4 linked regions of the Tamandua tetradactyla genome follow. The protein of the gene in region 1 purifies or fractionates together with the protein of each later gene. This does not show direct contact. Links are inferred from orthologs where the notes say so. Each region holds a gene or a part of one and is shown in the gene's direction. Other genes may lie near its edges. The genes, in order: BCL7C, ARID2, SMARCD3 and SMARCD2.

What was found.
Region 2: the proteins of BCL7C (region 1) and ARID2 purify together in Homo sapiens (affinity purification with mass spectrometry; 3 studies listed by BioGRID and IntAct, counting the BioPlex papers as one, with this or other methods). This does not show direct contact. The link is inferred for Tamandua tetradactyla from reciprocal best matches to the Homo sapiens genes BCL7C and ARID2.
Region 3: the proteins of BCL7C (region 1) and SMARCD3 purify together in Homo sapiens (affinity purification with mass spectrometry; 3 studies listed by BioGRID and IntAct, counting the BioPlex papers as one, with this or other methods). This does not show direct contact. The link is inferred for Tamandua tetradactyla from reciprocal best matches to the Homo sapiens genes BCL7C and SMARCD3.
Region 4: the proteins of BCL7C (region 1) and SMARCD2 purify together in Homo sapiens (affinity purification with mass spectrometry; 3 studies listed by BioGRID and IntAct, counting the BioPlex papers as one, with this or other methods). This does not show direct contact. The link is inferred for Tamandua tetradactyla from reciprocal best matches to the Homo sapiens genes BCL7C and SMARCD2.

The regions. Positions count from the first base shown.
Region 1 is NC_135349.1:23,599,673-23,606,995, forward strand, and holds the start of BCL7C (B-cell CLL/lymphoma 7 protein family member C), read left to right. Parts: upstream 1-4,309; 5' UTR 4,310-4,372; coding exon 4,373-4,464; intron 4,465-4,961; coding exon 4,962-5,040; intron 5,041-5,374; coding exon 5,375-5,483; intron 5,484-5,586; coding exon 5,587-5,748; intron 5,749-7,323. Other genes in the region: CTF1 (cardiotrophin-1), read right to left, coding at 706-824, 1,667-1,691. UniProt on the Homo sapiens protein: May play an anti-apoptotic role.
Region 2 is NC_135333.1:105,665,425-105,672,736, forward strand, and holds the start of ARID2 (AT-rich interactive domain-containing protein 2), read left to right. Parts: upstream 1-4,295; 5' UTR 4,296-4,432; coding exon 4,433-4,524; intron 4,525-4,638; coding exon 4,639-4,732; intron 4,733-5,795; coding exon 5,796-5,893; intron 5,894-7,312. UniProt on the Homo sapiens protein: Involved in transcriptional activation and repression of select genes by chromatin remodeling (alteration of DNA-nucleosome topology). Required for the stability of the SWI/SNF chromatin remodeling complex SWI/SNF-B (PBAF).
Region 3 is NC_135327.1:195,192,475-195,199,598, reverse strand, and holds the start of SMARCD3 (SWI/SNF-related matrix-associated actin-dependent regulator of chromatin subfamily D member 3), read left to right. Parts: upstream 1-4,120; 5' UTR 4,121-4,548; coding exon 4,549-4,626; intron 4,627-7,124. UniProt on the Homo sapiens protein: Involved in transcriptional activation and repression of select genes by chromatin remodeling (alteration of DNA-nucleosome topology).
Region 4 is NC_135332.1:5,011,491-5,019,275, reverse strand, and holds the start of SMARCD2 (SWI/SNF-related matrix-associated actin-dependent regulator of chromatin subfamily D member 2), read left to right. Parts: upstream 1-4,770; 5' UTR 4,771-5,109; coding exon 5,110-5,325; intron 5,326-7,785. UniProt on the Homo sapiens protein: Involved in transcriptional activation and repression of select genes by chromatin remodeling (alteration of DNA-nucleosome topology).

The DNA.
Region 1 (7,323 bases):
AGAGGTACAGTGACTTGTTCTAGGTGGTCCAGCTAGGAAGCAGCAGAGCTGAAATTTGAACCAGTGTTGAGAGTACTACAAAGCTAATTCTATCTCTATTATCCCAGTATCAGCTGTCATAATTGCTATATTACTTTTTTAATGTTACCATGATTACCCAATGTCAGTTTAGCAAGTTGACAGGCTTGATTCCAAATTATATCCTTCCTTCAGAACAATGTACATGAGGAAATATCTACCCTCTTCCCAAACATATTAGGGGATCCCCATTCTCTGTAAAGGTGCCCTCTTGAGATGGAATTTTTGCCCCAGATTGAAACCCCTTCTTAGACTCTGAATATTCCTGCAAAGAGTTCGCAGATCATCTTATTCAGTCGCCTCCTTTTACAACTGGAGAGACCAAGGCCTATGGACTTGAGTCAATGAGATCACCCAGAGTCTAGAACCTGTGATCCAGACTTCTGCCTCTGATTTACAGAACCAAGGGAGCCTCCAAGCTGAGGAGGATGGCGGGGCATGTGGGGCACAGATAGGGGCCGCCTCCAATTTGCTGGGTGGCCAGAGACAAATTACTATTCTTCTTGGGACCCTGATTCCACAGTTGAGAAGCAAGGCTGAGAATGTGGGTGGTCAAGGACCCCTGGGCTCTTGCGCTTTCCAATGATACCCCCAGCATACCCCCTCCCCATGCCCACCCCCACTCACATACTCCTGGAGCAACTGTTCGGCATATTTGTTGAGGAGGCAGGCAAGGCTGTGTGTTTGTCGGATCTTGGCCTCCAGGTGAGGAAGGGGTGAGACTGAGGAGTCAGCCCGGGGCTCTTCTGGAGGGAAAGGCAGGGAGGAATGAGGGCAACCCGAACCCCTGTCCTCAGAGCTCTCAGGCTGGGCAGGGTCTGTCCTATACCAACTGAGGGAAAGTGACCTTAGTTAGTGACTGTTGGAATTTTACGTCCATTGAAGCACAGAACTTCAAATCAGTACGGGCTTTTAAGAAACAAGCCCTTCATTTTACAGATCGGGAAAGCTAAGTCCCATTCTCTCCTTGATCCCCCTATACCCCCTTCTTATGGGTACTGGGCGGCATCAAGGAATCGGCGGCTGGCTCTGCGCGACACACGCCAGAGGGTGGCACCCAACGGGAGAGAGGACTATTTTTCCCGAGATGCCTAGCGCGCCCAGATGCATGCTGGGGGATGTAGTCCTAGCCCGGCACCTCCCCCCCGCCCCCGCCTGAGTTTCCCACCGCCTGTACGGATACTGAGCTGCCTCGTCACTCACTATCTCTTGTGGCCCAAAGCCTTTCCCTCCCAACTCTATCACTCCCTTCGGCCTCCCAGCTCTGATTCTTTCCGAAGACCCAGAGGAAAGAACCCAGGCGCCAGTCCCTAGTCTGGACGCCAGACTTCCCCACAGAGGACTTGAACCGGTGGTCTGGCCTCTGAGCCCAAGTTCCCGAAACCGCAGCCCCAGGTTCCTATGAACTCTGGTGCCCGTTCCCTTCCGGCAGCTCACCCGCTGGTTACCAGACACCGGAGCCCCGCGCTCCTCCTCCCAGGTCGCTGCCCTCCCAGCCTCGGGGGAGGCGGGGACCCTGACCCCGGCTCCAACCCTTCTGGCCCCTGCTCCCCTCGGGAACCCGGCGTCAGGCCACTCAGCCCCTTACCCAGACTTCCCTCCCTCCGGCTCATGTTGGCCCCAGGATGATCCCGGTTCCCTCCACGCCCCCCTTCCGAGGTGAGGTGGGGGGAGAAGGGGTTAAGGGGTAGGGGCGTGGTTCGGGCGCAGCCAATCAGGGCCCAGACCCCAAACCTTCCCCCCCACCCCCTTCCAGGCAGGATTCTTTGGCCCTGAGCTCAGATCTTAGACTTTCCGAGAAGGGGCCCCAAGAGGGATGCCTGCTTGTTGGCACGGTGGGTTCCGGACCCAGACCGAGACCTGAGAGGACACAGACTGGGACCTGCGCCCCTCTGGAGGGAGAAGGCTAGAGCGCGACCTGGGACAGGGCCTGGGGCTGGGGTTGCTTTCTGGGGAAAGCTTGGGGGAAAGGAGAGGGAGGGTGCTGGGCTGGCAGGACAAGAATGTGCAGGCCTTCTCTCTTAGGGCAAAGTTGAGGTTGGGTGGCAGTGTGAGGACACTGGGTGGAGCGAAGGAGGCCATGCGGTGGGAACCCTAGGGCTTGGGGCACACATGCCCAGACATACTACTTTTGCCCTATCTTAAATGTGTTCCACCTGGTCTGCAAAACCTTATTGTCATGCTGATAACCAGACTCCCCCTCCCTCAAACACATTCTGGTTGTCACACCTACCTGGAGGGAGATGATACCCCATCTCATCTCTCCTCACTAGGCCCAGAGACAGAACTCCACCGACACATACACATGCATCTACTTAAGGGTTAATGCATACAGCCACTCATTCTTCCACAGGAACAAACCTTAGAGGCAAGTACAAATTCACCAAGCTGGTGCAAACAAACCCTGAAAGGTCTGCACACACTGACCTATCTTCATGATGATTACCAAAGACCTACTCTGTCCAGGGCCCTGGGACTCAGAGATGATCCATACCAGTTCTCTGTGCCGTGACCAAGGACAATGACAATAGCTGGCAATGGGGTTATTGTAAACAAAGCCTGTGTTTCTGTGAGGATGTTAATATAATCAGACAGTGGCCAGGATGAAGGAAGAAAGGAATTAACTGGCAGAGGGTACAACAGGTGCAACTGAGGCCAATGCTTGGTAGCAACCTCAGGCACCCACTTATTCATAGCTCATGTTTATTGAGTGTTTACTATGTGCTATACGTGCATTAACTTATTTATTGCTCATAACCTCATAAAGTAGGTAATATTATCACCCCATTCTATAGATGAGAAATAAAGGTATAGAAAGATGCATGGCTTATCCAGCATTTCACCTCAGATCAGCAATTCACCTCAGCAATCTGCCTCCAGAGATGCTTTCCTAACAACCTTACTATTCCTTCATCCTTCTGGATACAGCAACACCAGAACTCAGATCCAACAGCCACGACCTGGAAACACACACACACACACACAAAACACAAATTTAGACATGGTCATACTTCCTGACAAATAACTTCAAGTAACACCAACAGACACACTCATTTTTTTTTAGGTAAACTTTTCATGGAAGTATAATATACAGGCAGAAAACTGCACATATCCATACAGTTCAATGGATTTTCGCAAAGTAAACACGCCCAGGGAACCAGCATCAGATGGAGAAACAGAACATGACCAGCTTCCAGAAACCTCCCACTTAAGCCCTCCCAGACAACATCCCCCAATTATCCTGTTTTCTCACCCCATTAATATACCTTTGTGGATTTTTGAACAGAACCATACAGCTTGTACTGTGTCTGGTTTCTTTCACTCAAGATTTCCTTCATGGGACTTGTTTCCATTGTTGGGTGCAACAGGACATCAATTACGTTGTTGCTGTATGACATGGTATGAAGAGGATACTTTTTTTTTTCACTCATTCTCCCGGTGATGGACGTTTGGGCTGTTTCCAGTTTGGCATTATTATGAACTGTACTATGAACGTTCCAGTACGCGTCTCTGGGTGCTCATACCAAGGCATTTCCTTTTGGAAGCTGATAACCTAGGGAGTTGAACCCCTGGATCACAGATAGGGTTGGCATCTGTTCAGCTTCACCAGAAACTGTCAGTTTTCTAAGCGGCTCTACCAAATGACACTGTGCACCCTCCCGCCCCCCACTCCAGAAATATAAGAGAGTTCCAGGTGCTCTACTTCCTCGCCTACACTTGCTAAGGTCTGTCATTCTCATTTTAGTCATTCTGGTGGGTGGCGCCGTAGTTGGCACTCAGTAACTTGGGTAGCGAGCGTGGTAGATTCCTTCAGGCTGGCCGCACACATGCACACAACACAGCGTGTTCAGGGACGCCACGCGCAGCGGACGTACACCGGGCCACGGACACTCGCGCGCACCCCGGCACCCACGTGGCCTGAACGCACCGCCTCAGCCCGGCCGCGCGCTTCCAGGCGCCGACTCCCCAACTCTCCCTCTCCGCAGCGGGCAGGGGGCGCTGCGCGTCCGGGCGTCCCGAGGGGGCGGGCCCGGGGCGGGGCGGGGCGGGCCGGGCTTCCAGGCCTCCAGTGTGGCCGCCCGCGCCACCGGGCCGCTCCGGGGCCGGGGCGGGGCGCGGCGGCAGGAAGCGGGGCGGGGACTCGCGGAGGCGTTGGGGAGCGAGGGAGGGCGCGGCCAACTCCCGGAGGGACGGCAGGCGGAGACAGCGGCTCCCCGGCCTGGCGCCGAGCCTGAGCCCGCCAGACGGGAGGCGGCTCCGCCGCGGGCCCGGGCCGGGCCTCAGCCCTGCCAGCATGGCCGGCCGGACCGTGCGGGCCGAGACCCGGAGCCGGGCCAAGGATGACATCAAGAAGGTGATGGCGACCATTGAGAAGGTCCGGAGATGGTGAGCGCTGCAGCGGGGCCGGGAACGGGACATGGCGGGGCCTCCGCCCCATTATGTGTCTACACTCGCATCGCCAGCTGTGGCCTCCAGGTGGTAGGCGTGTCCCCCGGCTGTGCCCGGATCGACAGGGCTCTGTTGCTCTTCCCCTGATAGTAACCAGCCGGCCTCGGCTGAATGGGCCTTCGTTTGTGCCCCGCCCCCTAAAACTGTTACACCTCTTTCCCCCAACATGCCCCAGTATCTTTATTGCCCCATTCCCAGCTAAGCTCACAGCTGTACCCCTACATATGCCCCAAGGGTCTGCAGGGCCATAGTCACAGGCCATACCCTTTCTGTGCACCCCCATCTATGTTCTGGGGTCTACAGGGCTCTTTTTCTCCCCCAAACTATGCCCCATTAGCAAAGCTGTCTCTCCCCAATCTCTGCAGGTACCCCCAGATCTTGGGGGTCTCAACCCCTAGGCCTCTCTGACCCAGTTACTCCCACCCCCCCAACAGGGAGAAGCGCTGGGTGACTGTGGGTGACACTTCCCTTCGTATCTTCAAGTGGGTGCCAGTGGTGGACCCCCAGGAGGAGGTGAGCAAGCCCCCAGCCCCTGCATCTGTGCAACCTCAGACAAGGCCCTCCCCATCCTGGCCTCGACCTCCAGTTCTCGCTCTGAGACCTCAAATGTAGCAGCCCAGACAGATGGTAATGATTATTAGGCAGACCCCAGCCTTCCCCCACCCCCCCAATACCTTTTTTCCTGCTCCAGACATCCACATTCAGGATCTAACCCAGTGGACACAACCTCTTTCACCTAAGGCAGAGCCTTTTGCTTCTCTGTGCCTCAGTTTCTTTACTGTTCAGTGGGAGGTTTGCAAATTAGAAAGCCTCTTGGGGCTCTGACCCTTACTCCTCTAACCCCCAGGAGCGACGCCGGGCAGGTGGCGGGGCGGAGAGATCCCGTGGCAGGGAGCGGCGGGGCAGGGGTGCCAGTCCCCGAGGGGGTGGCCCTCTCATCCTGCTTGATCTCAATGGTATGTGGGGATTCTGGGACTGGGGGGTCAGGGGGAATTGTGGGGATTGGGTGAAGGGACTGGGGGCCTCGGGCCCAACCTTCCTGGCTTCTTGATCTCACAGATGAGAACAGCAACCAGAGTTTCCATTCAGAAGGCTCCCTGCAAAAGGGCACAGAGCCAAGCCCTGGTGGCACTCCCCAGCCCAGCCGCCCAGCGTCACCTGCTGGACCCCCGGAAGGGGTTCCTGAAGAGACTCAGCCCCCACGGCTGGGCCAGGAGAGAGGTAGGACCAGGTGCTTCTCAGGGATCCCTCCTCTGGGTCCTGTCCTCTTCAAAACAGAACTCACCCATGCTTACTCCCTCTCCTGTGTGGCCTCTGGAAGGCCTTCCCTGACTCCTGTGGAAAGTCAGCACCTACCTCTAGCTACTGTCCATTTCATTCCTCTGGCTTCTTAGGATTTGTAGGTCTCTTATCACCACGTGAACTTTTCACATAAATTTAATTTTTTATTACTTTAATGCCCTTCTCCCCCACTCCACCTGTCAGCTTCATGAAGCTTGGGTCCATAACGATCTTGTTCACTACTACAGCTATGGACCACCACGTGGCACACAGCATTTGCTCAATAAATATTTGTTGAGTGATTAAATAATAGCAATAATCATGAGTAATTAATAATGAAGATGAAGATAATAGTTAACATTTACTGAGCTCCTATTATGTGCCAGACACCATTCTAAGCACTTTACCCCATATTCATGATGTAGATATGCCCACTCATAGATGAGGAAACTTAGGTCCAGATGAGTGAAGTAAGTTGCCCAACCTCATACAGCCATGGCACCAGTGTCTTGGGCATGGGTCCTCCTCATCCCCTCACTCATCCAGTCAATCCTGTCTGGTCAGTACCACCTCCCAGACATCCCTGCTCTCCTCTCCTCCACAGTCCTTGCCTGGCCCTGGCCTTCCATCTCTTACTCACTCTGGCTCTTGCCTCCACATTGATCTCCTCTCCTCTGCCCTGGTCTCCTCTCTTCCAGTCACCTCAAAAGGCTGCCAGGAGAGGTGCAAGGGTAGTTCAGTTGTAGAATTCTCGCCTGCCATATGGGAGACCTGGGTTCTATTCCTGGCCCATGCACTTCCCCAAAACAAAACAAACAAACAAACAAAACAAAACACAAAAATTCATCAAATGGTGCTGCAGTAATGGGCTACTCATGTGGAAAAAAGAATTTAATGTGACCCCTGCCATACAGCATACAAAAAAAAAAAGCTATCAGGGCAACGTTTTCTAACCCACAGGTTTGTTGCAGTGGTTTCCCTGCTTCAAAGCCTTCAATGGCTCCCTGTGGCCTTTGATGCCTCAGCTTGGCATTTAGGGCTCTATATGAACTACCCCTGCTGACCTCATGGTCTTCCTCTGAGAACTCTGGGCCTGGGCCTGTGTGTGGATTCTGCCTACTTCGTTGCACTGAGGGCGCTACCTGTATTCTCTCATTGAATCTTCACAACAACTTCATGTAGTAACTGTGTTATCATCCCCATTTTCTGGATGGGCAAACTGAGGCCCCGAGAAATGAAGTAGTTGCCCATGAGTCAGGAATTGAACCTAGGCAGTTTAACCCCAGAATCTGCTTGCTAAGCATGTGTTCCCTCTGTCTAAAACGTGTCCCACCTTTCCACTGGCCAGATCAAATCCTTCTCACCCTTATCATCCCACACAAATGCTCCTTCCTCTGTGCTGCTTCCTGGACTGCAGGTTCACAGCTCCTTCCTCAGTGCTCCATGGCCCTCCGGCTCAAGTGACTGGCCCGTTTGTGTTTGTTTTCCCCAACTGGTCTGTGCTCCTGGCACAGA
Region 2 (7,312 bases), on another chromosome or scaffold:
TTTAAACCTCAGAGTAACCTAAGAGCCCAAAATTTCTTTAATTAGTTGACATACCAATTCTTCAATTAAGTTGTTTCTGCAGTTGTGATAATCTAACATGCTTCATTTGATACTGGGTATAGTTTTTTTTTAAGTGTAGTTGAGTGAGAGAACTTGTAATCACAACTTCTTGACTAAATAATAGCGAAACTTACAAGAATCAAAGATGAACATAAAATAACAGTAACCTGTAATTATGATGTGCAAGGTTTGCAGTTACTATTAAAACCAATGCTTTGCATTTTTCCTACCATAAAGTCTTGTCATTTTTCATCAGAACAGTAAATTATACTATTGAATTTCAACAGTTTTCACTGCTATTGGTAATTTTTTATAGGAATAGTTTTCATCAATACTTGAAAACTATGAATTACATATCTTATCAAGTAAGTTGGAGAATATCTATTGCTGTAAAGCTGCCAGTACATCTCTGACATTTCCTTCCCAAGATCCACCTGCTCTATGCTGCCCACTATAGGAAATGCAATATGGTACTAAGAAATATAATACTATGCACTAGGGTTACTATTTGTGCAAACCAATAAAAAAAACAAAACAAAACAAAAACTCTCTGGCGACTTGGTTGCTAAGATAGGGTGTTTTTCGAAGTCACAGACTGATTAGTGGTAACCATATTAAATATAAAGGACATCAGTAGGAACAGATAGGACCAGAAACTATATCTTAGTGATCCAAAAGCCAAAGTAGCAACGGGGTACTGCAGGAGATGGGGCGTGGAACTTAGTGATGGAGGTGGAGGGAGCAGAAAGCTGGAGTTCTGCATTAGAAAGGAATAGAGGGTCAAAATCAACAAAAACAAAAACACCTCAGTCAAAAGAGTCATGCAAACACAAATGATTGCTGATAATGGAAAACAACACAAAATCAATTATGCATGCAATACATATTTAAGTATTATCATATGAATCTCGTCTTTCTTTAAACCTTTACATTTCTTTAGCTTCTTCGTCCTACATTTTTCTAATCGGGGGAAATTAAACCAGGTAGCGATCAGATAAACATCAAGTTTTATGTTTCTGTTTTTAAAACTTTGACCAGAGTATGTCCAAGTGTTAGGAATTTAAATTCTATCAGATATACATAAGGACTCCATTTTGACGATGACAGCCTCTTCTACAGAAAAGCAGTTTTTTTATTTCTTATAAAAAAACAATTCATATCAAATCTTAATTCTTAAGATACATTAAAACTCCAAATCTTTATCCTGCGCTGAAAAGCAAAACATACTTTTGTATACGCATGTGTCTACATACACATATGTTAATAGCAGTTAGTGGTTTAAAAGTGGCAATCTCTCCTTGAAAAGTAAAAACATAAAATGTCTCCATTTTGTCCTTCGAAATAGAAATTAAAAAAAAAATCTAGACCGTTCACTGAATAGTTGGTACTAGAAAAACGTTCTAAGGTTTAACCTAACATACAACCCTAAATCCTGACTCGGAAGACTTAAATTTCAGCGTACATGCCTTCATTCCCACTCCAGCCCCATTAGCACCTTCCCTGGCCCGGGGCCGGTCAGCAATGACCCGGTGCGCCTCGGCCACCGGAATTCGACAGCACCGCCCGCCGCCGGCAACCCGACTCCCGGCGCAAACGTGAGTTCCCAGGCCAGGGGCCTCCGGGACTCCCGAAGCTCACGACTCAGACGACTAGACTGGGCCGTGATCCCTAGCATTTAAAAACTACCGGAAAGTCTGCACAAGTGGCGCTGCCAAGGCCCGGTGTTGTCCGCTCCGCATGCGCCCCGTTCCCGTCCCATACAAGACAGCCGGACTGCCCAGGCGACCCTCCACTGGATCGCAGTCTGCTGCCGAGGAATGTGGAAAAGCAATCAAAGCTATTGAGTCTCTGGAGCAGGCAGCCGCAGCTTTCCCTTCTCCCATCAGATACAATTACGCCGGCGGCTTCTGACTCTTCCTTCGAGAAAATGAAAAAATAAAAAAGCGTAGAGGTGCTAAAAGCCGCTGGCATTTCCCAACCAAGGAGATCCTCTTGGCTCCATCCCTTCAGCAAGATTTCAGAACTCGATGCGTCCTCAGCGGAGGTATTCCATGTTGACGGGTCTCTTGCCTCCCACAAAATGGGGCAGAGGAAGCGACTGCTGTCTCCTCTATGGGCGCCGCCATTTTGTGAGGCGGCGGCGGCAGGGGCCCTGGGTGTGTGTAATGGTTGAATAGAATGACCCCCTTTAGGGAATCCCCGGCGCTGACAGTTACGTAAGGGGCCGTGAGCAAGTGCGACGTTTAGGGAATCCGCACAGCCGGGCCGCGGAGATCTGCGGCCCACATCTCCACCACCCCTAAGAGGACCGGCGGTGGGGGAAGGGACAGATGACCGGGTCTCTCCCTCCTACCCCACCCCCACTCCCACTCCCACTCCCCGCCTGGGCCACTGCCCAGCATCTCGACCTCCTTTGGCTGGTTCACCGCACCCACCCCCACAGGCCCTGGGGTGTCTGGAGTTTCCTAGCTACAGCTTTATTTCGAACCCATTATAAGAGAGAAACTTTTCTTGGGAAATAATCCCGATTCCTAAAGTGAGCACCAGAGGCATAGCATTCTGGGCTATATTACATAATTTTTTTCACCACCAAATAAATGTTCCCATCGGCGTGATTGGACTACCTGGAATAATAATCCTTCCAGACACAAACTACCTTGGGTTAGGACTTTGTCCGTAGTGACCACCACTAAAATGGGAATAATACGTTGCTCTACTGTGAAACTTGGCATTTGTAGCAAGGGGCCGGCTGCAACACCCCCTGTAAATATAGACTTAGGTAGTGGTGGTTGTTGAAATGGTTTGATTCTCCCATTTAAGCTAAGTTTTTTTTTTAAGCCTTCAAAATATTTTAAACAAGGGTTGCATTTAAGGAATTTGATAGAAAGCAAGGAAAAATATTTTAAATATGTTTTTGAGATGTCTTAATATGAAAATAAAAACGTTATCAAAGTTCGAAAGATTGCATCCCAACCAGTTTACTGTTTTATAACTATGATTGTAGAATTAATCTACTTTGATAAGTGAAACCAACGAAAGATGATATGAATTGAGAGCATTCCACCGAATGTATAGTTTGCTAAAGTTAGTGGGTAATTCATGGAAAATGTGCTAACCAGGCTCCAGAATACTGATATGAAGCTCAGAAAAGCCGATTCCTTTAGACTTGGGGGAAAAAAGTTAACAAATTGACTTTATTCCAATTTGTGAATGTTGCGTAGCTTGAGGAGCTGTCCCTCAGAGTTTCATTTCCCTCCGGAGCACCTCACCGCTTCGGTCCGACTGGCAGTGACTACCAGGCGGCCCTTCAATAGCCGGGTCGGGGACGCGAACATCGCCTCCACCCCTAACCCTGAACAACCGGTAGTGGCCGTTTCTCCGCGCCGCCCCCCTTTCCGTCGGCTTTGTGTGCGTGTGAATTGTGCGGCACATTGCAGATGAACCCTAAGCCCGGCGAGCCGAGTCTATTGTTCCCCGCGAGGAGCTGCCGGGGCGGTGTGGAGCCAGGTGCAGTGCCGCGGCCGGCCCTCGGGGGTCGCTGTGCGGCGCTGGCTGCCGGGCCGTGGCGGCGGCGCTGGCAGCGACAAGAGAGGGAGGCTGGCGGGGAGGGAAGCAGGCGGGCGGCGCGCAGCGGCTCAGCCGCCGCGGGTGCCTTCTGCCTGAGGACGCCCCGGCCGCCGCAGCCGAGGCCGCGCGTGAATGTGTGCGAGGGCCCCGCGGAGCCGCGGCCGGAATATACGCTGTCACCCCGCTTTCCACAAACCACCACACAGACCTCCCCCTCCCCACCCCCAGCCCCGCCTGCCCCAGCCCCGCCGCCGCCGCGGTCGCCGAAACTCCCTGGTCTCTGACCGCCCCGGCTCCTCACCGTCCGCTCGCCTTTCCCCTCGCCCGCCCGCGCGCGCACGGCAGCAGCACCATGTTGAATCGCGTCCCTGGGCCGAGCCGCCTGGGCCGGCGGCGCTGAGGCGGACGAGAGCCGGGCCGCGAGGAGGGAGGGAAGGAAGGGGTGGGGGTGGGGGCCGCGCTCGCCCCGCGGCTTCGCGCGGATCCGGCATTCGCCTGTCCCTCTAGTTTCGCTCCGATTTCTTTAAACTTTTTTAGAAATTCCCCTCCCTCCTTCCCTCCTCTCCCCCTGGCCTCCTGCTCCCTCTTTCCCCTCCTCCTCCTCCTCCTCCCCCTCCCTCCCTCCCTGCGCCGCCGCCGCCGCCGCCGCCGCCGCCGCCGCCGCCGCCGCCACCGCCGGCCCATGACTGAGCCCCGCCGCCGCCGGCCGAGGAATGGGCTCCGGGCTCTGGTAGGAAGCGCAGGGAGCGGGGGACGCTTTTAAAACACCGATCTGGTTTTTTTAAAAACCTCCTTTGAAAAAATAATGGCAAACTCGACGGGAAAGGCGCCTCCGGACGAGCGGAGAAAGGGACTCGCTTTCCTGGACGAGCTGCGGCAGTTCCACCACAGCAGAGGGTGAGAGCAGAACCGGGGGGGCAGTGCCGGGCGAGCCGGGGCGAACGGGGCTCTCCCGCCCCGGCCGAGTGTGGGGTCCCGGCTGACAAGTGCGGGGCATTCTCTCTTTCGCAGGTCGCCTTTTAAAAAAATCCCTGCGGTGGGTGGGAAGGAGCTGGATCTTCACGGTCTCTACACCAGAGTCACTACTTTAGGCGGATTCGCGAAGGTGAGTGGAAGTTTTAATTTGTATTTCCCTCTCGCTGGCCTCCTCCAAAAAGTCTCCTTTGACCCCGGAGTGGGCGCTCGGGGCTGGGGGGGTTGACTCGCGGGGGCAAAAGGCGTTCTTTTCGCTCTCAGCCGGTGGCACCGAGGCGGACGGCGGCGGGGCTGTTTTTGGCCTGGTGGCTCGCGTGCGCGCGGTGGGCGCGGGGCTCCGGCGGGCGGGCGGCCCGGCGCCGGCTCGCGCCCTGCCGGGTGCCTGGCCCGCCCGGCGGGGTCGGCGCGCCACGGCGGGGAGTGCGGGCGAGCGGGGAGCCCGCCGGAACCCCGCGCCCGCGCCTGCCCGCTCGCTCGCTCGCTCGCTCGTCAGCTCTGCTGCCGCTGCCGCTCTAGCACAGGCGGAGACACAGAGACACACAGACTCTGAGAGCAGTTTTCGTGCAACTCAAAATTAGCGCGGGCAGGTTTAACATCGATAATCGGCTGCGAAATGATCTCGGCAGCCGGGGGCACAGCCTCGGCCCAGTCGCCCTCGGTTTATACGGCTAACAAAAGAAACCAGGACCTGTCTCCAAATAGCCATCTTAGGCTTCAAGGCTAGGCAGAAGCTGTAGGCCTCAAAGAAGGGCCTATGGAGATGGATAGATCTGGGAGAGGGATCGGAATCGGCCCCGGGCCCGGCCCCCCCCCCAGAACCCGCGGACGTCGCTGTCCGGAACGGTATTGATCCTTTTGAACTTTTTTTTTTTTTTTTAGTGTAAACGGACCGCGTTGAGATTTAAAAGGGGGCGACAGAGGGACTTGCGATTGGTTATTGTCCGGGCTTCAAAAACAAAACAAACCCACCAAACCCCCCCCCAAACAAAACAAGTGCTATTAAATACGGGGCTCTCTGGTGAAAACAGTGATTCACACAGCTCTTGCATAGTAACTCTTTTGGCTCGAACCGAAATAACCACCGAAGACTTAGGTATATCCAGATCTCTGTAGAATGGGTATTTATTTCATAGTTAAGTCAGGGTTTTCTTGGATTGTGCAGTTTCAAGCAAGTATGCCTGTGTTTTTAACAGGTTTCTGAGAAGAATCAGTGGGGAGAAATTGTTGAAGAGTTTAACTTTCCCAGAAGTTGTTCTAACGCTGCCTTTGCTTTAAAACAGTATTACTTGCGGTAAGTAGTAGTGATTCTTTAACAGTATTTGGAAATAAGGGGGGAAATTTGTTTTTAGCAAAACAAAACAAAGCCTTGCACACAAAACAGTTTCTAATCGCTTATTTCATTCGAAGAAACATTATCAATAAAGTGTGATTGTAGGAAGGTGCAAGTTTTCCTCACCTATTTTAGAATTGTTTACATTTTTCATATGAAAACTTTACAGGTGACACCCCACCCCCACTCTTGGTAAATATTCTTTTGTGACATTGTTATTGATTGTTCGATATCCACCAAGGGGCAGAAAGGTGATGCTTAGTATAAGAGTTAAGATAGTTAATGAAACTTTGTATCCCTTGGGAAAATTTTTTCTTTGTTTTGGAAACTCTTTTACCTTTTTATGACTTTAAGATTTTTTTTTTTAATGAAACCTTGAGTACACAACCATGCCATTGAGTAGTTTTTAAGTTGGTATTTACATTTAACATGTTGATGCCTTAGGTGACCAGGATTGATTTTAGAATTATCTTTCCTCAAAATGTTGAATGACTTAATATTTAAAAGGATTATTATATGTTTAGGAAAATAAGGGGTACTGTGACGTGTGATGTGATTTGGAATTTTTTTATTTTCCCTCTTTTCGACTCCTTATTTAGCAGAGTAAATTTCTTATTCAGTTAGTATGTGATAGATTTTGTGATTTAGGGGTTTTTGTCCTCCCGCTTATTCTAGGAATATTTTCATGTTGTAATTTATTATGTCATCTTTTCTTTTTAATGTTTGTTTATCCATAGAGCGTCCTTTAGTTGGTGGTTGTTATTCAAAACTAAAATAATACCCTTTGGTTTATTGTTTTTTAATAGTGATTTTACACAATGGCTATTTTTTTGTAATGTGGCTTCTGCATACTTTGGGTTTTGCATTTATTACTGCTCAAAATACACAGTTACTATTGTGTGTCATTTTCAGCATTCTGAAATAGGAAATGCAGAACTTGCACAGGTGCACTTTCTATTGGCTATCTTAGAGTGACTTCAGACTTCAAGCTGAAGAGTTCACAGAACTTTGTGGAGTAGTTACTGAGTTATACAGAAGTCTAGAAACTATTAAGTAGGGTTAGTTGCTGTTTGTTTTTTGTTTGTTTTGTTTTTGTGATGGCATGTGTTTCAGTATATTTTTAAATAAAGGGCAAAATTTACAAACAATGTCAATTGCTCAAACTTGATTTTGTAATGGGGTGAGAAGTATAGAATTTTGTATTTATGGTGACATTCACTTGCTCGTTTCCATTGTGCATGGAAATATTATAATATCCCAATATAATATTGAGAGGAATGATGCTAAATACATGTTCTAGTTTTATTCATCAGATTTATCCTTTAGATTTTAGATGGTTTAAAATCTATATTTTAAAATTACCCCTGATATTTATGGGAT
Region 3 (7,124 bases), on another chromosome or scaffold:
CTGTTCTTACACAAGCCTACAGGCACATGGGCGCTGCTCCAGGTCTTGGAAGAACCGTGGGGACAGCCAGGGGGTTGGGGGACAGGAATGTGCCATGATACCCCTTGTCCGATCTTTCAAATGCCCTGTCTGGAGGCTGAAGGAAACCCCTCACTTCAGGTGGAGGATTGGGGTGCAGGCCCCCCACACTTCCAGGAGCTGGGCATGGAAAGGTTTAGGCCAGCTTTGGGTCAGAGCTACCTCTGGGTGGTTTAGTGATGGGGATGAGAAAGGGTTCTCTTTCTGCTGGTTCTAGGCAGAGCCTAGAGGTTTTAAGAACGAAGAAATGCCAGGGGCCAACCTGAGAGCTCCAAGTGGTCTCACTTTACACACGCACACACACCAATCAGTGAGGCTAACTTTATCCAATTAAGGAAAGCTATTGCTGGGGGTGCAGGAAAAGCGGTTGGTGGTGATGAGTCTCACCCTGTCAGTCCTTTCCTCCCTCAGTCTTTATTTCCTTTGTTCCTCTCTTCCCCTCTCCCTTTCTCCCTTTCCCCCTTCCCAGCTTCCCTTCTCTCCTTGTAGTCTCCCTCCTTACATTCGCTCAGCCCCTTCTCCTCCCCCTCCCCCTCCCCCTCCCCCAATTCCCTGAGCTCTGTCCCAGTAATGGGACTTCCCCAGAAGCCAGGGAGCGTGCGGACCCAGGGCTCAGGCCCTAGGCCTTGGTGGCCATCTTCCCGAAGGGAAGGAGTTAAGTCTTTCCCCTGCATCCCTCCTCCCCCTCCAGCTCTCTCCGCCGCCTTTGAGTCCTGCAGCTAGGCCCTGGGCTGACCTTCACCGGGAGGGAGGCCGCAGTGCGCATGCCCAGGCCGACTCCCGGCCGGCTCCCGCAACTGCCGGGGGACCCCGCGGTTGGGGTGGAGGGGGGCGGCGGCTGCCAGGCCGGGACGCGCCCCCAACACTGCACACCCGGGCTGCCGCTGCCGGCTCTGGCGTGGTTCGGGAGGGGGTGGGGGAGAAGGCAGCCCCAGCCCGTCCCGGCAGGCCGCGGCTACATCCTTCTCCCTGCGTGGAGAGAGGCGCTTTGCCATTTGGTGCTGGTGGTGCTTCAGTGAGGGAAGGAGAGATGGGGGGACGGCAGGGGGGACTCCGGCTCTGGGCTGCCGAGAGGCAGCCCAGGCGAGCCCGGAGCCTCTGTCCTGGGTAGACAGGCAGTTGGCCCTCTCCTTAGACACACACAGGCACTCTCCTACCCAGAGCGCTACTTGGGCCGGACAGGGAGTGAGATCCCCGTCGGACTGGGAGGAAGGGCCGTCTCCCTGCTTGAAGCCGGGCTTTTCCTGGGCCTGTGTGGAAGCCGGCCGCGTGTCCAGCAGTGGTGACTGCTGGAGCGTCCTTCTGGGCTGAGCTGCTGGGGATCCGGCCTTTGTGAGGAGGGAGCCCTGGCTGGGTGTGCCCCAACTGGTGTCTCCGCCCCTGCTTTCTGCTTTCTGGTCTGAAGACTCCCCTGAGCCTGCACACCTCTGGTCACCTTTGTAAAAGCGGCATGTAAACGTGTCTGATGGCGGTGCCTTGTAAATTCGGGCTTTGTGAGTGTGATATGGAGGTGGTCAAGGTGTGCCTGTGTGTGTCAGTCCTCTTGGCTCCTTGTCTCTTTGGCATTTGCATTAGCATGAGTGCTTGGTGTGTGTGTGTGTGTGTGTCTGTATGCATCATGTATTTGTGGTTTGTGCAAGCTTAAGGATCTCTCCCAGAGGGGTGGCAAAGCCAGCAGGGGGTGTGGAAGAGGTTGTGATCCTGGCATGGCCCAGGAGGGGTTTGTCTGTGGAGGTGAGTGACACCTATCACCTCCTCCATCTCCTAGACTGATGAACTGCCTATCCTTGATTCTTGATCCCTGGGGTCTCCCCAACCCCTTCACAGGTGCTGGGGGGCTCCCACCTTTGTTCATGCCCCACCCTAATACTTCCCACTTGCCCAATAGGGAGTGCCCATCCCATCTCCTCATACTCCCTTCTTTTCCTCAAAAGGTCTCTTCCAGAGTTGAGAACTTTGAGCTTTACACAAAGTCTGGAGATGTCATACCCTCTCATCCCCCAGAACCTCCACGTCCTGTGGTCTAGCTTTCTCATGCTAGAAGTTCTCACAGGGCCTGGGGGTGGCTACAGTGACTCTCACACCCTGAAGAACAAGGCAGAGTGTGATCTTGGTCCACTGAATTTTTAGGTGGTTTTGAGCATCATCAGGCATTTTTGTATTATTGAATCCTGGTGCCCAGGCATGGGAGTGAGAGGCCAGTTCCTTACTTTACAGAGCTGTAGCATCACTGAGGAAACCAAACCTAACACACATGGAATGCAGGGCACATCAGACATTACTTAATCCAGTGTCAATTCATGAGGCAAAGTAGATGAGCCATGGGCAATCAGAGAAGAGAAAGATCAGGGATGTCTTCCTGGAAGAGGTGGGGCCTGCACTGGAAAGGATGGGTATGATTTGGACAGGCCGAGGGGAAATGGAGGGCATTCCAGGCAAAAAGAATACTGGGAGCAGAGGGATGGGAATGAGTCTGGGGTTTTGGAGGTTAGTGGGAGACTGGAGCAGAGAGAAGGGTGTTGCTGGGGTGTGGCTCAGAATGCCCCACTCCAGATTACCAGCAGCCACCTTTATGGGTGATGGCGGATGGAGGCAACCCACCCACCCAACCCAGCCTGCCAGGGACAAGACATTCTGTGTGTGTGGATTTGGGGTGAAGCCTTGGAAGAGATTTGGTAGGAAAGGGATCTCTAGGACTCCTGCCAAGCCTGGGGTGGAGGACAGGTGTCCTGGACCCAGATGCTTTCTGTGGCCTGTTGGGGGCTTGACAGTGGACACACATATGGACAGAGGCACCCAAGAGCACAACCAGGGCCCAAGGGAAATCAAGCTGGGCAAATACTCCCTTGGTTTTCCTTGTCCTGAGCTCTGAAGGCATTCTGAAGGGTTTGATGGTCAGGACCACTTCCCACCTCCAGTGTAATACCAAGTCTTCAGGACCTAACTTCAAAGAAGTTTTCCAACCAACCCTCCCAGGCATTGCTCTAGCCTCATGTGGATTCTGGCAGGGCCGCCCCTAGAGGCCTGTCAACTTGATAGGCTGTTGTCCCAAAGCCTGTGGGACCCACAGAAAGGAGAAGAGAGGGTTGTGGAGTCTAGGGGCGTGGGGGGGGGGGGCGGGTTCCCCTCCTGGGAAATCAAAGGCTTTGTTCTTCCTGTTTCCTGCCCCTCCTCCAAACCCCGGGCTGCCTTCTCCCTCCACACCACCCCTCCTGGGGTTCTCTCATAACCCCAGCCTCTCCACCCCAGCTTTCTTTGGGGTCATGAGGCTGCCCCCACCATACCCAGCAGCCCCAGCTACTCCAGGTCCCCCACCCCGCACCCAAGCCCTCCTTGCCTCATTCCTGCCACCCACCCTTCTGTGCACCCACCCCCAGCGCCTTCCCTCACATTTTCTCTCCCTGTTGTCATGAGCTTGATCCTTGTCCCTCTTTCCAAAATATTTCCCCTATTACCCTCACTTTCTCTCAGAGAGACAAAGACTCATATACCCAGAAATAGACTCACAGAGAGCTGAAAGACATAGGCCCATGCACATACATACACACACACCAGAGCCTTTCATAGAGAGACACACAGAAAAGGCATCTGTCTGTTGTACACACAAATAACTGTCCACACCCACAGCCACAGAGTCTTGCCCACACCAGGACACAGACACACGCAGCCATGGGAGACAGGGTCACATACATCTGGGGAGAGGAGGACATCCGCCTGCCCAGGCATACCCCACCGCTGCTCCTCACCCTGGGGCAGGAGGGAAGGCCTCCTCCGGGCTCAGGCTCTCCCCAGATTCCTTGCCAGTGAATGTTTCCGTACTTGGCCTGCCAGGTCCCTAGGGAAAGGGCCTCAGAAATGCAGCAGGAGCAACTTGGTGGGGGGGGGGGGATGAGTTGGAGCTGACTGTTCCCTGCCTGGCTCTGCCGGTGAATTCCCTAACCGAGAAACTATTTGTGGAGAAAGCTCCGGGTGGCCGGCGAGCCCCCTCTGCCACCTCCCCTCCCCGTCCCCACCCCCTCGCCAGCCTCCCCGGGCCCCTCCAGCCGGCCTCCGGCTGCTGTGCTGCTACCCCAGCGGCCAAGGAGACAGTATTTTCAGTTTGCCTCCCCGCTTATCTGCGCTGTTTGGACAGCCAGCTTTGAAAAGGCAGGATTTTCTGTCCCCGCCGAGTAAACAGCCAGACCCCGGGCAGCCCGGACTATTTCTGTCTTATCAGTGCAGGAATGCGGCAGCAGCGGCGGCGGCGGCGGCGGCAGCGGCAGTGGTGGCAGCAGCTGAGCAGGAGTGGCGTGGGCCGTGGGCCGTCAGGGCAGCCCTGAAGGGGCCCCCTCCCCACTCCGCTCTAGTAGAAGTGTGAGAGAGCCCAGCAGGACTCAGAGGGGAGAGTTGGAGGAAAAAAAAAAAGGCAGAAAAGGGAAAGAAAGAGGAAGAGAGAGAGAGTGAGTGAGAGGAGCCGCTGAGCCCACCCCGATGGCTGCGGACGAAGTTACCGGAGGGGCGCGCAAAGCCACGAAAAGCAAACTTTTTGAGTTTCTGGTCCATGGGGTGGTGAGTGGGGGAAAGTTAGCGGGGGAGGGTGAGTGAGCTGGCTCTGGCTGAATGGAGGGATGATTGGGAGGGGCCGGGAGGGCGCTCCCTTGCTCTCACCCCTCTAGCTGGGGGGTGCGACGGCCCACGGCCCAGCCCCAGGATTGTGCCAGTGCCCCTGGCACCCGAACACGTCACCAGGCGGCTGGCAGGGGATGGGTGTGCAGGCGGGAAAGGGAGAAGCATTTGCATGGGTTCTTGTCAGGGGCTGGGGGTGGGATTTGGGGACTATCCCAAGTGAGGGGGCCCCCTCTGAATCAAGCATGTTGTCTTCTATTCTTTTCCTTGTGGGCCCAGGTGTTACCTCTTCCCCATGGGGGGGTCGTAGTGGGGGGCATGGCATTGACTGGGCTGGGCTGTCTGGTCATAGGTTGGGATGGTGTCTCTCTCTGATTGTGCCCCAGGAGCAAGGAGCAGGTGACCCTGGAGGCACTGTGAGTGGGAAACTCTCTGGCATGAGCAACCGCTGCCTCCTGACAGGGGAGCAATGGGGCTTTGCGGCTGGCCTCTGCCATCAGGCTCAGAGAGAGGCCCTCTGTAGGGACAGACCTCCAGCGAAGGGGTCTGAGGGTCCCTTTGGCAGAGTCAGTCACCACAAGCTGATGTTCTCAAAGCCTCAAAGGTGTGAAGGAAGGGCTAGAGATGGGGATATGAGGCCTAGAGATCAAAGGGACAGAACAGCCCTGTCCTGCCACAGGAGGCTGTGAAGGCATTTAGGGGGGCTAAGGGAGACCAGGGAAGGGGACACTTGAGCTGAGTCAGCAGAAGACCAGGTTAGGAGAGCTTGGGGAAGGTTGTGGGAATAGGGTGGGGATGATTCAGGCACTGGGAGATGGCAGGGGCTCCAAGATTTGGGATAGGTGATAGGGATGGAAGCAAAGTATAGAGGAGCAGTCAGGATTATTATGAACAAATTTGGTTAGGACCCCAAAGCCAGTACCTTCTCAGTTGAGGGTGGCCAGTCTTTAGAATCTTAGCCTTCTGTGAAGTAGCCCTGATGGCTGGCACAGTTTTCTGGGGGTCTCTTCAGCAGATCAGTGGATATCCCTGGCCTTGATCAATGGGGAATGCACCTGATAGGGAAGAAAGGGCATCCCTGGGGCAGCCTGTCCTCCAGCTCCAGGGATCTCTGGGGGTAACTTCCCAAGGGTGTGTGTGTGTGTCCACCAGCCGAGTTCCAAGTCCCACCCTTGCTGCCTGGGGAGTCCCTTTAAAATGACCCATCTAGGAAGGAGAGAGGCTATTAATGTGGATTTTTTGTTATATGACCAATTCAGAGATTCAGTTCTTGGGTGGCCGAGAGCCCCACAGCCCTACTCCCAGGCCCTGACCTATGCTGGTGGGGAATGGTTGGGTCTGGGCCCCATTCTGTTCTGCTACCCTGGAGGTGTGAGTGACAGGGTCAGGTGGGGTGGGGGAGGCAGACACATGAACCAGCAGGTTTCACTGCGGGAGAGATGGGCTGTGACAGCTGGCTGGCTGAGGGTAGGAGGGGCATTAGGGTTAGGGAGAGTTGGCATTTGGAAGGGGAACCTCAAGCCCAGGGTTCAGGCTCCTCCTTGTGTCTGGTGGCAGCTGTGCTCCCGGGGGGTGAAGCGGGTACTGTTTAAATGATAACAGGGGCAAGGCTCCTTCCTTGCTCTCCTTGTCCCAGTCTCCATTCCACCCACTCTCTTCCTTACAGCCCCTCTGGCCCTGCCCAATCCCTCTTGTGGAATCTGGACAATTGGGTTTTAAAAGCCTGCGGAGCACTTAATTTGGACTCGTTTGCATCTCATTTACATCCCATCTGACCACCCAGGGATAGTGGCAAGAGAGTGATTGCTGCCTCATCTCCTTCTCCTTGGCCTCTTTTGAACCGTCTTGTGGCTTGCACTGGGGGTAGTAGTGGGAAGTGGAGGAGATCTGTAAGGATAGGGCCATCTCTGGTGAGCTTGGTGGGTGGGAGGGGAGGGAAAGATGTAAGATCTAAGGCTGGTGCTTTGACCTGCCCAAAGTGTGCTTGGCATCCCCCTTCTAGGCCAGCTTTCCCCACTCCTCCCAATCACAGAAGGGTCTGTCCTCAGCCCGCAGCTTCTCACAGCCGAGGTTGCCTCCTGCCCTACCTCCAGCCTTCATCTTGGGAGCAAATCATGGGTGTGGGCAAAGTTAGTGAGGCTGAGGTACCTGGGTATGGAGACTTGGAATCAGCCTAAAGGGAATGGTGTTTGGGGTTGAGGGGTCAAAAGCAGGGGGCCCAGAGAGATGAGTGGGTTGAGATGAGAAGAAGTAAATGCAGTGCTGATCAGCCCAGGAAGTGAAGAATAGGAAGGAGGGAATAAAAGGAGGAACAGCAGAAGTCAGAGCAAGGAGCTCAGCCCCTAACTTGAATGAAGCAGCAGAGAGCAAAAAAGACTAGGTCCTGGCAGGTATTGCCTTTGCTAGGATGAGCTGTGTGACCTTGGTGACGCTGCTTTTCT
Region 4 (7,785 bases), on another chromosome or scaffold:
GGGGCTTTGGGATAGGATGGCCTAACTGGAGAAACCAGTCAGAAGGGTTAGGGAAGAGATGCTGAGGGCCTGACTTACGGCAGTACGATGAATACAAGAAAGATTTAGGAGGTGACACCAATAGGGCTTCGTGACTAAGAATGAGCAGAGAGAAGGAGAGGAAGGAGTGAAATATAATTTCAAGTAAAAGCAGAATGAAGGTCCTTAAGGCTCACTCTATTCTCCTTTTTGCTTTTGGTTTCAGCTACCCTGCGTATCTGGTGGGTCACTCCATCTTCTTAGCTTTCCATTGCCTGCAAGACCAGTTTGAATGTCTCAGCAAGGCAGGGTTGGCCTTTTGCCATGTCTTCATGGCTTAACCAAGATGAAGCCCAGGGAGGAGAGGCAGACTGGAAGTAAGAAAAATGAGATATTGATTTTGAACAGATGGGTTTAAATTTCCTATGGAACAACTATCAGGGAGTTGGAAAAATGTATCTGCAGCTCAAGAGAGACGTAGGGTTGAAATTAAGAAATTTAGGGTCATCAGAAAATAGGCATTAGTTGAAGTTATGGGAGTAGATGAGTTTGTCTCGACAATAAAGAGGTAAGGATGGAATCACAAGGCCATGGGTATTATGGGTATTTAGGGACCAGTAAGGGAGGGAGAGATCCCTGTACAGACTCCTTTCCTTATCTTTCTTCTATCTTAGTAGCCTGTTGTTTAGCTCTGTCAGCAGCTCTGGGTCCAAATTCGAGAACCAGGAGGACACCTCTGAGCAGGTCTGATGTCAGAGTATTCTGTTCTTCAGGTGACTTCCAAAGCGATCAGGAAGAGGCCACTGAGACCACAGTGTCACCCAGGTCTCTGAATGTGTTGGAACTCTGGTTCTCTCTGGGGAGAGAATGAATTGGAGAATCATGCCCCAGCCCTTGGCTCCAGAGTGTTGATCTGAAGCCTACTTCTTATGTACAAGTACCTGCTCCCACCATTGGAAGTCTCTAGTCTTCAGGTATTTTACCTTCTAAACTATGTGGCCATAATGTGCACACAGAGGAGCTCCTCCCTGTCTTATACTTGACAATTCAGCCAAACTTATTCTAATTCTCCTCACCATGTACTATTTCTTGGCTTCAGTCCTTATTCTCTCTCCTTTGCCTAACTGACTCTTAACCTCCTTAATATAATCTCCTGCAGGAAGCCTTCACTAATCTCTTTCCCCATTAAAGCCATCTCTGTTTTCCTATGGCACCTGGTAAATATCTTTATCACATAAGGAAATTATTTATTTATACATGTATCTTCTCTACTAGACTATGTCAAGGACTGGCATATGGAAGTTGCTCTCACATGCTGTAAATATTTCTCAAATGCTAAATAGGCTGTTTTACCGTAGTATATAGCCCTTCTGCCACTTTGGCTGGGCTGTGCCCAGGGCCTGCTGTACCACCACATCCATGTGGGAGGTGGATGCTTCAATGGAGACAGGCTCTTGGTATGACCCCAGCAAGGCTGGATCTTGGCAAGTGTTTTCTGCCATGACCTGACTATCTGCCTTGCTTCTCCCGAAATTCTGACCTCCTAAGGGACCTCCATAGTGAGCAGTGATCCTCTGCTGGCCTGCTCTGGGGGACGGATTAGGCCATCTTGTTCCCAATGTCTTTCTTTGGTGAACTCTTTGGGGATTATTTTTCCCACCACAGGGAACCACAGAGTCCACACTGGGAAGTGTCCTTTTGTTGTATTTGGCTCTGGTTGTATTAAATACTTTACTTCCATTTCAGTCTCTTTGAGCATCTGTAGATCCAACAGGGTCAGGAGGGCCAAGTTATAAGAAAGCCCATCCTCTAGAGTATAAGACTAGGAGCATTGGAGGCCTCAATAAAAGTTGTTTAACTGAATCACCAAAACGTGGGCTGTAAGAAGAATAAATACTGATGGAAGAAAGGAGAAAGCAAAAAAGATATTCCAAGCCTTGGGAACAAAGGAATGCTGCCTCCATGGTTTCAAGTCCCGAAATTGGCTGCATCATTAGGTTTTGTGAGGTGCTCTCCCTTTCTCCCATCTCTATCAGGTCTTCAGAGGTAACTTATCACCTCTTTTCACAAGTTCCTGAACTGTCCCAAGGGGAGATATCAAACCCTATTTGCCTGTTGAGTGACTACCTCTGGTATTTTCTTTGAAACAAAATTCTCCAGAAAACATTTTCTGGTTAATCAGGACCAGATTATGATACTAATCAATTCCCTTTTCTCTGAGTCCCCAAGGCACTTACTTTCTAGTTTGAACACTATTTGCAAGTAATAACTGACTAGAAATATGACTGTTAACAGAGGTAATAAATATTATGTATGGTTAATTGCTTGGGTTGTGGATTCTAGAGCCTAATTGGAACCAGGTTGAATTCTAGCACCATCATGGTGAGGGTGGGCACGTTACTGAATCTCTCTGCCTCAATTTGTAAAATAGAGGTAAAAATTATATCTATCTCCTATATAGTGCCTACCTCATATACGTTTTGAAGATTAAATGAGCTAATACGTACAGGCACATATGCTTAATAAATGTTAGCTATTCTCTGAGTCTACCCTCTAGGAAATTTTTCTTAATCCCTCCGCTATCTCTGCCTCCCAGCTCCTTGAGGATATTTTTTCACAGCAATTAACTCATTTCTGGCTGTATATGTTTACCATTTTCTCCCACTACACTTAAGCTCATTCCTTTGTTCACAAACATTTGTTGAGTGGCTTATGACATTGATCAAGAGAGGCACAGTTCTCACTTTCATGGAGTTTATATTGTAGTGGGGGAGCCGGATCAATAGTAAATCAGAGTATACTTAAATAAGTAATTACACATTGTGATAATCACTATGTGGGAAGTAAACAAAGTAAGGGGAGAGCTTAGAAAAGTTAAGGAAGAGCTGTGAGTAGAGATTCTGAGGTGGGAAGCGGCTTGCCAGTTTGAGAAACTGCAAGAGTACCATTGGGGCTCGTGCTTAGAAAACACCAGGCGGTGATTTAAAATGAGGCCAAATCCTGCAGAGCCTTATGTGCATGGTAGGGAGTGTGGCAATCGATCTAAGCACGGGGAACTAGGGAGAGTTCAGGCAGAGGATTAACTGGATCTGGTTACACTTAACTATTTTATCTGTTTTTTTTTTTTTTTTTTTACATGGGCAGGCACCAGGAAATGAACCAGGTCTCCCCCATGGCAGGAGAGAATTCTGCCACTGAGCCACCATCGCACCGCCCTATTTTATGTTTTTAAATGCATTTATTAGCTTGCCTCTTTTCCAGAGTAGTGGTTCTCTACAAGGAGGATCATATCAGAATTACTGGGGAGTTTATTTTTAAAATGTAATACTGGGAGTCTCCTCCCACAGCCCCTACTGGATTTGAATGGTAGGCATGGAAGGGAGGCAGGAATATTTTGGAATAGCTCCCCAGGAGATTCTGATTCTCCACCACTTTGTTGAGAACTGTTCAACAAGCTTGAAAGACTCGAAGTAAACAACGTAATCTGCCTCATCATGAATTCTTAATCCACTTTACAGGCTGGGGAGAGGAGCCATGGTTCAATGACTGGAGCTGTGACAGTTCCTGTGGCATGTCCCCAGGCTGGGAGGTAAATCAACTTTTCAGGAGAATGAGGAGCGGGATCTCTGAGAGGACTAAGAGGCAGGAAAACAGCAGCAGCCAGATTTATTACTGGAGGAAAGATACAAGGAGGTACAGATCAGCATACCTTTCTAAAAAGCACTGAAGGAGTGTACCATACTAGGATCTGGGCTACCCTGATGCTCGGAGGGAAGCTATCATTTGGCTGGAGATGAAAACAAAGCAGGTTAGAGGGCCACATAGTGAAAGTCTCTATCTTGGCTACTCAAAGTGTGGTCCCAACAGCACACTTTGTCTGACAGCCTATTACAAATGCATAATCTTGGGACCTACCCCAGACGTAATGAACCATAATCTACAAACCCCACGCGTTTTTTATGCTCAAAATTTGAGATGCGCGGATTTGTAACATGGTGAAGAGACCCCAGACCACCAAGGCAGGCTCCCTGTTGCAGCTGAAACCAAAAGCAATTTTAATACCTACTAAGACAAGACAGTAGTTTCTGAAAAGGTGTTGAGTTCTTGAGAATTAAGTGTTAAAGAAAACTAGAGAAACACCTTATTGAACTCCAGGGTGGTTTTTTATAACGCAAATTTCCTTCACCTAGAAAAAATTTATGTGGAATAAAATAGTAGGCTTCCTTAAAGTGAGGCAGAGCCATGTTTAAAATGTGCGATAAAAATTCAACGCTTGGCCAAGCAAACCATTCACACAGCTGGATGGGGTCTGGAACCACCGATATCCCTTGGCAGCTCCGGGCCACCAGGAAGGGCTTTTTAAGAAAATGGACTTGGCAGCCTGTTCTGCCCCAGAGGGCAGCTCTCGGTTGAGTTCTTTTACGTTGAAAATGTAAAAAGGAGACATGACAAACTATTTTCATGGAATATGGTCGGGCAATTCGGTAAGGCGGTTAACACTAGAGTACTCCCCCATTCACTCTTCAGTCACTCTTGAAGTCGTTCATGACCTTCGATCTCTGACCCTCGCGCTTTCCTCGGCGATTCAGTGCGACGTCTCCCCTCCCGCCCCTCGGACGAAGGGCCGGATCAAGGGCTGCGGGCGGGACGCCGGGGCTGGCGGTTAGGGGCGGTGCCTGCTAGGGGCGGTTCTCGCGAGGGGCGGGATTTGAGGAGGCATCCAAGCATTGGGCGGCTAGGCATAGGCGGGGCCTGGTGCTGGTCGGGGTTGGGCGGGGTGAGGAGTTGCAGGCCCCCGGACTCCCGCGGCCAAACCTGCGGCGGCCGGGGACTGCAGGCTGGTGCGTAGCAGATCCCGGATCCGGAGTTTCTTAGACAGGATCGGAATCAGTATCGGCCGGGGCCCAAATCCGGTCAGTGAGGAACTCGTGAACTTGTATTAGTAAATCCCGGAACCTGGATCAACAAACCCCAGTACCCGGATTAGCAGAATCCGGAATTTAGATCGGAAAGTCCCGGAGCGCGGAGCACGGAGCGGACTCGGCGCGCAGCCCGGAGTCCGGATTGAGACACCGCGGAGGGGACGGAGCGATGTCGGGCCGTGGCGCGGGCGGGTTCCCGCTGCCCCCACTGAGTCCCGGCGGCGGCGCGGTGGCCGCGGCCCTGGGGGTGCCGCCTCCTCCCGCGGGATCCGGCATGCTGCCTGGACCAGCGCTCAGGGGACCTGGGCCGGCTGGAGGCGTGGGGGGCCCTGGGACCGCCGCCTTCCGCCCCATGGGGCCCGCGGGCCCTGCAGCGCCGTACCAGGTGAGAAGGGTGGGTGGGTAAGCAGATCCACGAGGGCGCTGCGGGCAGGGGTGGCGGGGGCCCCGGGTGAGGCCCTGGGGAAGCCTGCTGGGCAAAGGCACAGAGGCTCTGCATGAGGTGCTCGTGGGACATGGTGGAAGACAAGGCCAAGGACCCTCAGGGTGCGGTTAGATGGTGGTGGAGTTTGGGGAAAGGTTTAAGAGGGATTCGGGGGTGGAACGTTTGAAACAGTTGGGAGGGCCTGGGGCCTTCCCTCGGTAAAGACTCTACTTGGTAACTGGGAGGTGGAGCAGTTGTGTGGAGGAATGGTGTGTGGGTGGGTGGTTCTGAGAAGTCTAGTGTAGATCCTAGCGTATAAAGGTCCTGGGAAGTGAGGAGAAAGTTTTGGAAAAGGGGAGTCTCAGGGGCCTTCACTGAGCAACCAGAGTTACCCTACACTGGCCTTGGTCGCACCCCAAGTCTGTCTTGTTTTTTCTGGTTGGGAGCTGGCAGCGTTCTAGCATCCCCTGTCCCCTTGGCCCACTGTGTCTGAGATGGCTCCCAGCTGCTTAGTGATAAGGAAGGCCTGACTTCACTGTCCCTGGAGGCTGAGGTTAGAGTAAGGGATTTCACCCCTGTGCAGAGGGAGACACTACTCCTGGGTCAGAGTAGAGTGTTTACTGGGGATATCCCAAGACCAGAGATGGTGGCAGCCAGGCCTGAGGAAGAAGAGAGGCCCAGCCCAGTGACAGACCATTCCTGGAAGACTCTCTTTTTGGCTTCCTGCCTATTGCCATAGTGTCCAGGAGTTGATTAGTCTGGAGGAGCAGAGCGGCTCCACTGAACCCTGCCAGTCTAAGGCCGAGGATCCTGGGAGAATTGCCTCAAAGGGTCCTATTGCCTTGACCTTTTTGAGCGTTGGAAAGAGAGCTTCTCAGGTTCCAGTTCCAAAGGCTATTGAGAAGCCTCAATCTTTAGAGTCAGTGTGAAGAACTCTACCGGACCCTGTTGGTGGGTCTCATCAGCCCCCTAGTCCATTGTTTCAGGTTATTACCAGAATGCTTGGAAATTGTGTCTGTCCTTGTCTTGGCCACCTGCACTTCCATTTAGCCTTCATGTTCTGACAATGCCATATCCCAACTCTTGTGCCCCAGCATTCGGTGCTGGCTTCTCCCAAAGCCCCAATGACTTGGGGCTCCTCAAGTCATTGGGCAGAGGTCCCAGAAATGGAGCTTCATGGAGTAGGGAGTGTGCATTCCACCAGGGCCCCATGGCCCTCAATTTCTAAAGAGATGGTTAACTGGGGACAGTGATGTTTCTCACTTTTTATCCTCTTTCTTCCCCCCAAATAAAATAAAAGATCTGGGTCTGGGACAGAGATAGACCTGGTTCCAAACCCTCCAGCTAGGGTCTATCTTTCCTATCATACCCTCCCCCTTGGGCATTCAGGGGTCAAGGATGTCCCTGAACAGTCCCGACATCAGTTATTCCAGCCCTTGGACCTATTCACTGAGACCTGGGTGTGAGTCTCCCTGTGGGCCTTCTGCCTGGGAGGGACCTGGAAGCAGATAGGGATTTTTCCAGTTCCCTTGGCATACAACCCATGGGAAGTATGCCCTTGGGAAAGCCCCTGTAAGGATGTTTTGTGGGGAGTGGTCTTGGGCCTGTGACAAAGCCAAGCTGGCTGGGTGGGTCTCCTGGGCTTCGTGGTGGGGACCTAGGGGATGGCATTGACCTTCTGTTTCCCAGGGCTTCCCATCCCATCAGCTGTTTTTTTTTTTAATTAAAAAAAATTAACAACAAACAAAACATTAAGATATCATTCCATTCTACATATACAATCAGTAATTCTTAACATCATCACATAGTTGCATATTCATCATTTCTTAGAACATTTGCATTGATTTAGAAAAAGAAATAAAAAGACAACAGAAAAAGAAATAAAACGATAACAGAGAAAAAAAAGGTTATACATACCATACCCCTTACCCCTCGCTTTCACCATCAGCTTCTTATCATCACCTCCTCCTCCTCCTTCTCCTCTAGGGAGTAGAAAAAGAGGTAGGTGGGGAGAGGAAGAACCCAGCTTACTTCGGGTGAGTTCAGGAACAGGAGGATCTGCTTGTCCTCTTTCCATGTTCAGTGTGACCTCCAGGAAAAAGGACTTAAGATTTGAGGAGCAAAAGGATTTTTTGACTCTTAGGGCTCATCAGATGAGCCTGAGGAGTGGGGATTTGAGGTCCAGAAATGGGCAAATAGGGAAACTTATTGAAAAAAGGAAAGTGATGACCCACCTCCCTCCAGATAGTGGCTCTAGCTGTAGATCACATTCAATTGAGAGCTTGAAAAAAAGAAAAAGAAAACACATACACATATAGCAGGGATTGCTGGTGTCACCTCAGAGACTTCCATATACTTTCTGCTCATGGTGGGCATGCTCTCCTTTCACTTAAGCCCTTAGTCCCAGCCACCAGGAGCATC